Macaca mulatta: one gene and its partners. The protein of the gene in region 1 interacts with the protein of each later gene in a pairwise test. Links are inferred from orthologs where the notes say so. Each region holds a gene or a part of one and is shown in the gene's direction. Other genes may lie near its edges.

The links.
Region 2: the proteins of LSM2 (region 1) and DNAJA1 interact in a two-hybrid assay, tested with the Homo sapiens proteins (2 studies listed by BioGRID and IntAct). The link is inferred for Macaca mulatta from reciprocal best matches to the Homo sapiens genes LSM2 and DNAJA1.
Region 3: the proteins of LSM2 (region 1) and CLNS1A interact in binary tests that used the Homo sapiens proteins (3 or more experiments, as listed by UniProt). The link is inferred for Macaca mulatta from reciprocal best matches to the Homo sapiens genes LSM2 and CLNS1A.

The regions. Positions count from the first base shown.
Region 1 is NC_133409.1:150,509,234-150,513,548, forward strand, and holds the start of LSM2 (U6 snRNA-associated Sm-like protein LSm2), read left to right. Parts: upstream 1-1,431; 5' UTR 1,432-1,641; coding exon 1,642-1,644; intron 1,645-2,253; coding exon 2,254-2,321; intron 2,322-4,315. UniProt on the Homo sapiens protein: Plays a role in pre-mRNA splicing as component of the U4/U6-U5 tri-snRNP complex that is involved in spliceosome assembly, and as component of the precatalytic spliceosome (spliceosome B complex).
Region 2 is NC_133420.1:66,342,966-66,346,615, reverse strand, and holds part of DNAJA1 (dnaJ homolog subfamily A member 1), read left to right. Parts: intron 1-1,594; coding exon 1,595-1,727; coding exon of another isoform or gene 1,728-1,733; intron 1,734-2,174; coding exon 2,175-2,402; intron 2,403-3,650.
Region 3 is NC_133419.1:78,053,864-78,057,513, reverse strand, and holds part of CLNS1A (methylosome subunit pICln), read left to right. Parts: intron 1-1,449; coding exon 1,450-1,586; intron 1,587-3,650. UniProt on the Homo sapiens protein: Involved in both the assembly of spliceosomal snRNPs and the methylation of Sm proteins.

The DNA.
Region 1 (4,315 bases):
GGAGAAATATATTTATTGGTAACCTTTGATAAAACCAAAATTTGTGCTCCAGCTCCTTATCTCTGGGACTCCTCAACATTTTTTTGTTTTTTATAATTTTCTTTTTTATAGACAGAGTCTTGCCCAGGCTGGAATGCAGTGGGGAGATCGTAGCTCACTGTAACTCTTGGGTTCAAATGATCCTCCTGCCTCAGCCTCCCAAAATGCTGGGATTTACAAGCCTCAACATTTTGTTGTTGTTGTTGTTTTGAGACAAGAGTTTCACTGTTGTTGCCCAGGCTGGAGTACAATGGCACGATCTCCACTCACTGCAACTTATACCTCCCGGGTTTACAGGCGCGTGCCACCACACCTGGCTAATTTTTGGGTTTTTAGTAGAGACAGGATTTCGCCATGTTGGCCAGGCTGGTCTAGAACTCCTGACCTCAGGTGATCCATTTGCCTTGGCCTCCCAAAGTGCGGGATTATAGGCGTCAGCCACTGCGCCCGGTCAATTTTTTTTTTTTTTTTTTTTTTTAAGACGGAGTCTCTCTCTGTCACCCAGGCTGGAGTGCGGTGGCCGGATCTCAGCTCACTGCAAGCTCCGCCTCCCGGGTTCACGCCATTCTCCTGCCTCAGCCTCCCGAGTAGCTGGGACTACAGGCACCCGCCACCTCGCCCGGCTAGTTTTTTGTATTTTTTAGTAGAGACGGGGTTTCACCGTGTTAGCCAGGATGGTCTCGATCTCCTGACCTCGTGATCCGCCCGTCTCGGCCTCCCAAAGTGCTGGGATTACAGGCGTGAGCCACCGCGCCCGGCCAATTTTTTTTTTTTTTTTGAGACGAGTCTCGCTCTGTCGCCCAGGCTGCAGTGCAGTGGCATGATCTTGGCTCCCTGCAACCTCCACCTCCCGGGTTCACGCAATTCTCCTTCCTCAGCCTCCCGAGTAGCTGGGATTACAGGCGCCCGCGACCACGCCTGGCTAATTTTTTTTGTATTTTTAGTGAAGACGGGACTTCACCATGTTGGCTAGCCTGGTCTCGAACTCCTGACCTCACACAATCCATCCACCTTGGCCTCTCAGAGTGCTGGGATTGAAGGCGTGAGCCACCGCCCTCGGCCTTTTTTTTTTTTATCAGCTGAATTTAAGATTAAAAACATTTTTTAATTTTATTTTTTGAATTTTATGTTTTTACTTTAACAAATATAGAAAAGTGCACACTTCATAATCTTCACAAACTCCCCACAATTCTCGATAGGATGTGTGTAGAGGGCACGAACACATCACGCTGTGGACGGCAGGGTTATGGAAAACAAAACCTTTTGAGCTCAGACGCCGAGTGCCTCCACCCGCCTAGCAGCCCAGGCTAGGGTCCGCGCCTGCGCAATGGGAGCCGGCCGGCCCTGGAAGAAGTCGGAACGAAGGAAACCCCGCCCCTTTCCCGGCTTCCTCCTCCCCTCGGTTTTACCCAGCTTGCGCTCCCCAGCCGCAAGTCGGCCGCGCTTTACCCTTCAGCGCTTGGAGGGTTCTGCGTCCCTTCCCGCTGCGCCTGCGCGGTCCCGCCTCGCCCCACGCGCGGGCTCGCGCTTCGGTTCTCCCAGACCTGGTCTCAGCATCCGGCTCTTTTCTCGCTCCGGCCCGCTGCCCGCTGCGCCAGCACCATGGTGGGTACCGTGACGTCAAAAGGGGTCGCCCTCGGGGATCTCGGACGGTTGGGGCAGGGGGGTCTGGCCTTTGTCCCCCTAGGCTGGAGTTAGGTCCGGAGTTTTTATCTTCATCGTTAGTCCTGTTCCTCAAGTTCGTTGAGGAGACACCTGAGAGCAAATGGGATTTTTTTTTTCCATGATGAGGAAAAAAACCCCAACCCTGAGAGAGATTCAGTGGGGACAGCGGGAGACGGAAAAGTTAGACCTTAGAGCACTTCTCTGCCAGGCAAGCTTCGGCAGGGTGCGGGTGGGATGTTTTCTGTAATTCATTGAAAGGAGTGGGCAGGTACCCGAGAAAGGTGGTCGATTGAGAGAGCACACTGGGGAGGCCGAGGTATGCAGGGCAGAGCCTCTCTGGGACTTTAAGTGATGGGCTCAATGCAGTGTGCAGAATAATTTGGGCTCCAGCCTTTCACCTCTCAACCAATTATTCTTTCCTGTGAAATTTTGAGAACTGTTAGGGATGCAATGGGGTTCACAATACCGGTATTTGGTAATACTGTCAAGGGACACTCCTCCCTACCATGTTCCTTCCCACATGATGGTTTTCCCCCTCTCTCCCAATAGCTCTTCTATTCTTTTTTCAAGTCCCTTGTGGGCAAGGATGTGGTCGTGGAACTCAAGAATGACCTGAGGTAGGTACCTGTTCCAACAAGTCTGTTGGGGGTGGGTGTGCCCAGGGCCCTGGAACCTCTTTAATTTGAGAAATATTTGAGGGCTGGGTGAGGTGGAATATGTACAGAAGAAATAAATGGCCGGGTGCGGTGGCTCACGCCTGTAATCTCAGCACTTTGGGAGGCTGAGGTGGGCGGATCACGAGGTCAGGAGATCAAGACCATCCTGGCTAACACGGTGAAACCCTGTCTCTACTAAAAATACAAAAAATTAGCCAGGCATGGTGGCAGGCCCCTGTAGTCCCAGCTACTTTGGAGGCTGAGGCAGGAGAATGGCGTGAACCTGGGAGGCAGAGCTTGCAGTGAGCCCAGATCACGCCACTGCACTCCAGCCTGGGTGACAGAGCGAGGCTCTGTCTCAAACAAACAAAAGAAATAAATGGGTGGGGTGCAGTGGCTCACGCCTGTAATCCGAGCACTTTGGGAGACTGAGGAGGGAGGATTGCTTGAGCCCAGGAGTTTGAGGCTGCAGTGAGCAGTGATTACTCCATTGCACTCTAGCCAGGGCAATAGAGCAAGACCCCATCTCTAAGACAAATTTTAAAATTTAACAATAAATAAATGCCTTGTGCCTTAAATTTACAGATAAGCTTGGGGATTGTATTGTGTATTGGAAAACAATACAAAGCAATATACAGTTTAAAGAGTAAATACTGGTCAGGTGTGGTGGCTCATGGGCTGGACGTGTGGCTCATGCCTGTAATCCCAGCACTTTGGGAGGCCGAGGTGGGTGAATCACGAGGTCAGGAGTTCAAGACCAGTCTGGCCAAGATGGTGAAACCCCGTCTCTACTAAAAATACAAAAATTAGCCAGGCATGGTGGCAGGTGCCTGTAATCCCAGCTACTTGGGAGGCTGAGGCAGGAAAATCGCTTGAACCTGGGTGGCAGAGGTTGCAGTGAGCTGAGATTACACCACTGCACTCCAGCCTGGGTGACAGAGTGAGACTCTGTCTCAAAAAAAATAAATAAAGAGTAAGTACTAGGCTGGCCATGGTGGCTCACACCTGTAATCTCAGCACTTTGGGAGGCTGAGGCAGGAGGATCACTTGAGTCCAGGATGTCGAGACTAGCCTGGGCAACATAGAACCATTTCTATAAAAGATTAGCCAGATGTGGTTTACATGCCTGTAGTCCCAGCTATTCGGGAGACTGAGGTGGGAGGATCACTTGAACCCAGGAGGTCGAGGCTGCAGTGAGCCATGATTGTACCACTTTACTCCAGCCTGGGTGACAGAGGAAGACTGTCTCAAAAAAGAACAGGCCAGGCCAGGCGCAGTGGCTCACGCCTGTAATCCCAGCACTTTCGGAGGCCGAGGTGGGCGGATCACGAGGTCAGGAGATTGAGACCATCCTGCCTAACATGGTGAAACCCCATCTCTACTAAAAATACAAAAAATTAGCCTGGTGTGGTGGCGGGCGCCTGTAGTTCCAGCTACTTGGGAGGCTGAGGCAGGAGAATGGCATGAACCCAGGAGGTGGAGCTTGCAGTGAGCCAAGATGGCACCACTGCACTCCAGCCTGGGCGACCAGAGCGAGACTCCATCTCAAAAAAATAAACAAAAAAACAGAACAGGCCATAGGCTGGGCATGGTGGCTCATGCCTGTAATCCCAGCACTTTGGGAGGCTGAGGTGGGTGGATCACAAGGTCAAGAGATTGAGACCAGCCTGGCCAACATGGTGAAACCTACGTATTAGATATGCTACTGTGTATCTAATACCTAGTATAGGCCAGTTGTATGATAGGTGCTTAAGGAAAGAAAAATAATATCTGAAGACCTATTGACTAAGCACTATTCTGAATACATTTATTGATTGATTTCTCAAACACTCCTTAGTAATATGTACTATTGCTGTTATACATATGAGGAAACTGAGGCTTAGATCAGCTATACCACTTGTTCAAGTCTACAAAACTAGTAAGTGATACAGAACAGAAATATGATTATGTCCAGC
Region 2 (3,650 bases), on another chromosome or scaffold:
TTTTTCAAATGAGAGTAAGTTAAAGTTCAGAAACATAAAACGTCTTCAAGCTCATATAGCAAACCAACAGAGCCAGGGCTGAAAACTGGTTCGTTGCCTGCCACCTATCTAATGTTGCTTCAGCTTTATTGTGTCAAAATTATGTATTTAATATATTTATCAGGAAAGTGGCCTATGGGCTCTAGAAATACTGCTCATAGGAATAAAGTGTTTAAGTCAAGAGAAATTAGTCTCACTTTATTACCAGTATAGTGAATACAAACAAGGGCTATGAGCAGAACCAGTTTTAGAATGAATGGCCAAGCCATTAAGTTTCACTTTGAGCTTCTAAGATATTTAAACTCCTTAAAAAGAAAGTGCATAATCCAAATCACTTGCTTAGTAAATTGGTAGAATTTGTCCACAAAAAAGTAGTGGTGGTTTTTCATTTACCTTACAAAGAACTGACCTGCAGGTTAACATTGGCAAGCTATTTTATGTGGCTTTAGATCATATTGAGAGGTTATTTTTGGGGAAATGTGCTTCCCCAAGCTCTAGAAGCTTTATTTTTCCTTCTTTATATTCTCAACACTGTACAAAATAAGGGCAGCTAGATTTTAGCGTGCCAAAACTAAAGGTGGAGCTATAAGCAGAAGGACATAATTAATGGTATTTCATGCTTGATTAGAAAGTAAAAATGTTCATTAGGCATGAACAGAAACGAGTTTGAGAACTTGTTTCAGTTGGTGGAAATGCAGTAATATTGTGAATAAGTTCTTGTGGAAGGATCACTAGCTAGGAACTTACTAACTTATTAGCAGGTGACTTCATATTTCTAACCTCCGTGTCCTTATGAGATCTTGACCTTCCATTTCCCATTCTGATTTAAGTGAAGTAAGGCACTCCTTAGGAGCCACTGGCCATGTGTGGCTCCATTAATTTAAGAAAAAAACAAAACTACAGTTTCTTAGTCTAAAGAAAGCACATGTGATTCGTGGCTACTGTGTTGGATAGAACAGATATGAAACGTTTATCACTGCAGAAAGTTCTGTTGGGCAATGCTAGTATAAAAGGTATGAGAAATTTGGCCTTTAAAACAACCGGTGCTGGCCCAGCAGTAAATGGGCTGTTTTCTACTAAATCAGGAAGAAGTAGAAATTGATACTCTTCTGTGGTAACTCAATAAATGCATCAACTTCCCTGGCCAATCTTGGTTAATGAGAATTTACTGTGCTACAGAATTTTTGGATGAAGTAATTGGTCACGTTGCTCAATACGGTACGAAGTGAAAGCTTCAAAGAATATATTGTGACAGAAATGAATGTTTGGATTATTGTGAAATGTGCCCTTTTAAATAACGTTGGTTTTTCTCAGGTGACTTTGAGGTTAATGTTTCTGCTTACCATATTTCCAAGATGGTCATGTCTATGCCCTTAGGCAAATATTTAATTTCTGACCTGATTTTCTCTCATCTGTGATTACATCACAGTTTGAGGATATTCTGTGTATATAGTAGGTAGTCAACAGATGTACCCTGTGAGGCTCATTTTTTATTATCCTTTCACATTCTTTATAGTGCCTTTAGCACGAATAAGTAAGATTCAACATCAAACAGATTTGTAATGAGAAATACTTTGTTTTAGGCAAAAATGTTGTACATCAGCTCTCAGTAACCCTAGAAGACTTATATAATGGTGCAACAAGAAAACTGGCTCTGCAAAAGAATGTGATTTGTGACAAATGTGAAGGTACGGGTTTTTTTTGTTTTGTTTTTTGTTTTTTTAAACGTCTTTAATATGACACCTGAAAATGGAGCTAAGACTTCCTGGATACGTAAAATTGACTCACGTACACTACGTAGATTTTGGGGGAGGGGAGGGCTGATATAAAGAAAACCGACTGAAAACCTGCCACCTAAAGAAATAACAGCACTATTTTCTGTGTATATTTTAAATATAGGGATCAAGCTAGCTTGGTATCTTTTTTGTAATAAGTAAAATTATTTACTGGAAATGAAGTATGTTCTAATGAGAATAAAACTAATTAAAATGATTTCATCAGTTACATATTCAGAGGGTAGCATTCCATCAGACTTTGAAAATATTAAAAGTACAGCATTTAGGAATTGTCTTCTTAAAACATTTACTACTGTATACACTAATTCATACGTTATTCAATTTTCTTTTTACATTTAGGTAGAGGAGGTAAGAAAGGAGCAGTAGAGTGCTGTCCCAATTGCCGAGGTACTGGAATGCAAATAAGAATTCATCAGATAGGACCTGGAATGGTTCAGCAAATTCAGTCTGTGTGCATGGAGTGCCAGGGCCATGGGGAGCGGATCAGTCCTAAAGATAGATGTAAAAGCTGCAACGGAAGGAAGATAGTTCGAGAGAAGAAGATTCTAGAGGTTCATATTGACAAAGGTGAGTTCTGAGCTACTTATTCTGAAGTCTTGAATGCTGTGGCAGATTTATTATTAACATTTTATAGTTTAAAAAGCATTCTTGGCCGGGCACGGTGGCTCAAGCCTGTAATCCCAGCACTTTGGGAGGCTGAGACGGGCGGATCACGAGGTCAGGAGATCGAGACCATCCTGGCTAACACGGTGAAACCCCGTCTCTACAAAAAAAAATAGAAAAAACTAGCCGGGCGAGGTGGCGGGCGCCTGTAGTCCCAGCTACTGGGGAGGCTGAGGCAGGAGAATGGCATAAACCCGGGAGGCGGAGCTTGCAGTGAGCTGAGATCCGGCCCCTGCACTCCAGCCTGGGCAACAGAGCGAGACTCCATCTCAAAAAAAAAACCATTCTTAGTTAGGTTATATATGATCCTATCACTCAGAAATAGATCTTAGCAGCGTAATATATAATGTTTTTCCATCCAGACATAATTTTGCATATTGGTATATTACTAATAGAAAATAAGGAATCTCCTCATCTAATATAAACAGGATCATTTTTTGAAATCAGTGGTCCTGTAAATGATTGAATAGTGTTCCAAACTTAATTCTCTGCTGTTAAACCATAGTTCTTCCATCTTTTAAAAAATTAGAATGAAGTTATTTGAACACATTCCTAATTAAGAGTTATTAGATCAAGGGATAGGCATATTTTTAAGGATTTGAGAAGGGAGTTAGGTGAAGAATTGGGTCTCATTAAAATTCATGGTTTTTTTTGTTTTTTTCTGAGACAGAGTTTTGCGCTCATTTCCCAGGCTGGAATGTGCAATGGCACGATCTCAGCTCATTGCAACATCTGCCTCCCAGGTTCAAGCAATTCTTCTGCCTCAGTCTACCAAGTAGCTGGGATTACAGGCACCCAGCACCACTCCTGGCTAATGTTTTGTATTTTTAGTAGAGACAGGGTTTCACCATGTTGGCCAGGCTGATCTCGGACACCTGACCTCAGGTGATCACCTGCCTCGGCTTTCCAAAGTGCTAGAATTACAGGCATGAGCTACCACACCCGGCGTCATGTTTATTTTTTAAACTAATGGACATGTTTTCTGTTCTTTGTTTTTTTTCCTGAGATAGAGTCTTGCTCTGTTGCCCAGGCTTGAGTGCAGTGATGCCATCTTGGCTCACTCTAACCTCCCCTCCCAGGTTCAAGCGATTCTCCTACCTCAACCTCCCAGGTAGCTGGGACTACAGGTGTGTGCCACCATACCTGACCTGG
Region 3 (3,650 bases), on another chromosome or scaffold:
CTTGTTAAAATTGTATAGAATATAGAATGATACATGGGTCTTACTTCATTAACTTTTAAAAATAATTCATATAACATACCGTTTAACCATTTAAACATACAATTCAGTAGTTTTTAGTCTGTTTACAGTATCGTGCAATTATCACCACAATTTTAGAATATTTTCTTCACCCCAAAAAGAACCTGGTACCCATTAGCAGACATTCCTATTTCCTTCTAGCCCTAGGCAACCACTGTATTGCATTAACATTTTTTTTTTTAGCTTCTTCAGGATTTTTTACTTTTTTTCTGCTAAGTGGTACAGATGGATGAAATATTATCAGAAAATTAGTTAGCCTCTACTGAAAGCTCAACATACTGATTTTGGTGATGTGCTTCCTTTGGTACACCAATAAAATATTTGCATTTGACCACATTTGAGGGAAAACTAGGCCTAGCTTTTCTGTGGCTTTCTCTTAAAGATGTTGAATAAATGAGAGGCTTCAGGGAGTCTGTCTCTCAAGGTAATAAATATTCCCTGAGTTGCGGTGAGTGTGATGACACCCATTTATGTCTTTTAGTGTAGGATTCATGGAGAAACGAATGATTACCAAGGATTTATTGCATACTTACCTCCTGAGCTCTTTGTTAATGGTTTTGAAGAATGTTAAATAAAGGAATGTGACGAGTCCTGCTGTCAAATAGCTCATATTCCATAAGGGCACATATAAGACTCACTACCACAGAGTTAAGTACTAAAATTTGCAAATCAGAAAAAGAAGAGGTCTTTATGGACTGGTGTAGTTGAAGGGAGGCCTCATGGAAGAGGGGAGGATTTGCAAAAGCAAAGAGGGTATTTGAAGACATATCAAAAAAGAAGAAGCTTGAAAGTCATAGAAACATACATGTGACTGAGGAAAATGGAATTTCAAGTCTGTTTGAATTTATAGCTAGAGGGAAAGAGACTTTAACAGAATTGATCTTAAAGAAAATTCGATTTCCACTACTGAATTTTCTTTTTTTTTTTTTTTTTTTTTTTGAGACGGAGTCTCACTCTGTCACCCAGGCTGGAGTGCAGTGGCCGGATCTCAGCTTCCTGCAAGCTCTGCCTCCCGGGTTCACACCATTCTCCTGCCTCAGCCTCCCGAGTAGCTGGGACTACAGGCGCCGGCCACCTCGCCCGGCTAGTTTTTTGTATTTTTTAGTAGAGACGGGGTTTCACCATGTTAGCCAGGATGGTCTCGATCTCCTAACCTCGTGATCCGCCCGTCTTGGCCTCCCAAAGTGCTGGGATTACAGGCTTGAGCCACCGCGCCTGGCCTGAATTTTCTTATTTTATGAACATTTCTAAAAAAGTAAGCTTGAATTTATTTATATGCATAAAGGTGTCCAAGCTGAACTTTTATGTACTTTGTGATATTACATTAGGATTTACTTTCTAAAACTAATCTACTTAAAACATGTTTTTCAGCCGCCTGTCTTGGTTAGATGGTTCTGGATTAGGATTCTCACTGGAATACCCCACTATTAGTTTACATGCATTATCCAGGGACCGAAGTGACTGTCTAGGAGAGCATTTGTATGTTATGGTGAATGCCAAATTTGAAGGTATGTATGGTGTAATTTAATCTAATGCCTCCTTTGATAGCAAATTATATTTTAAAAAAGAGTGTTTGATAATAATCAATGTAACATTGAGGCCATTGACTCATTTTGGATAGTAGTTTATTAAGCAAAATTTCAGCACAGCAACTTGGACAGTTGAAGTTTTCATAATGGACGTTTGTGTGTGTCTGTATATATTTCTATATATTTACACTTAGAATTCTTCATTTATTATGGATATGTATTTCTAACTTTCCTCTAAAGTTTCACTGTTTATTCTGCCTTTCTCTTTTTAAAAGGCACCCTTAGAGACTTGGATCAGTATACCCTGTGCTTCTGAGAATTTAAGATAGAACTGTTCTGTTTTGTTACAATAGTGGTTATCAGTGGGTGTAGGGGGAATATATTTTTCATAGACCTCCACCAGCCTCACCATTCCCCCACATTTGGCAGTGACATTTTGGTTGAAAGAGGAAGGATATTATTGGCATCTAGCAGTTAGATGCCAAGGGTGCTATTATTGTACTAAATATTCTGCTATGCGCAGATGGTCCCCCACAACAAAGAATTATTCCATCCAAATGTCAGTGGTGCCAAGGTTGAGAAACTGTAGGATATAAAGATTTTCAAGTTTTGCTTTGGGATAATTGCAAAGACTTGTAAAAATCTAGTGAAGATGTTCATGTTTAAAATAATGGGTTGCTTTTCTTTGAAGCAGTGTGTAAGAGACAATCCCATTTATTTACCTATAAGACTATTGCTCTTTCAAATTGGGATTTTAATATGGTTCCAGATATAATAATATGATCATTTATATTCAGTTGTGACACTATTTAGTAATTCTTAGGACTTTTGGCAAGCCCTGCCTCATTAAGTGGTAATGACTGATTCAGCTATCTGAAAATATTTTTGTTATAAGATTTCCAATTCTTGCCGTTGGAAAAGGTTCAAAGACATTTAAAAATCTAGTGAAGTCTGAAAAAGAGGATTAGGAAAAGTAAAAGGCTGTTAACCCTGGGGTGTAGTAGTGTAGTAAGACTTCCTAATAAGGCATTAGATACAAAATTTGCTTTTCATCTAAGTAAATGCAACTATGATTTTATAACTAAGAATATCATGTGTCATGTTTAGTTTAAAGCATTCATTGATTTCCAGAAATGCAAAACCTTAGAGGTACTCTTGCCAGTCAGCTCCAAATGCTGGTGTGAAATGGCCCTAAATAGTGACGGGCATTGGAGGTGGGAAAGGTACATATCAAGAGAAAGGCTTAGGAAATAGTGTTTAATAATAAAGGGCAAAAGCACATTGAATAAGAAAACTCTGTCATTAGGCCGGGCACAGTGGCTCACACCTGTAATCCCAGCACTTTGGGAGGCCGAGGCAGGCGGATCACCTGAAGTCAGGAGTTGGAGACCTGCTTGGCCAACATGGTGAAATCCTGTCTCTACTAAAAATACAAAAATTAGCTGGGCCTGGTGGCGGGCGCCAGTAATCCCAGCTACTTGGGAGGCTGAGACATGAGAATCGCTTAAACCCAGGACGTGGAGGTTGCAGTGAGCTGAGATTGCACCACTGCACTCCGGTCTGGGCAACAGAGCGAGACTCTGTTGAAAAAAAAAAAAAAAGTAAAAACTCTGTCATTAACTTGCTAGGCAAGTCATTTGCATCTCTCTGAGCCTGAATTTCATCCAGAAAGGTTAAGGGAGTATATTGGTCTCTGGTTCTCAAACTCAAGACTAACGGATACATATTAGAAATACGTGGGAAGCTTGTTTAAAATGCAAATGCTGTAAGTCCTAAACTAGGAAAAAGCAGTTCAGTAGGTTTTAGGGTGTGTGTTTTAAATATGTGCTCTATAATCTTACAGAGTCTATATGATTATTTGATTGTAATTGATGTGATTATGATTAATCCTTTCTTAGTAAAATATGCAGGATTTCCTATCTTACTAGAAATTAGTATCTTCCTGGGTCACATTTATTTCACTAATTCTCCAGTTTTTTTTATTTTTTTGAGATGGAGTCTTGCTCTGTTGCCAGGCTGGAGTGCAGTGACGCGATCTCAGCT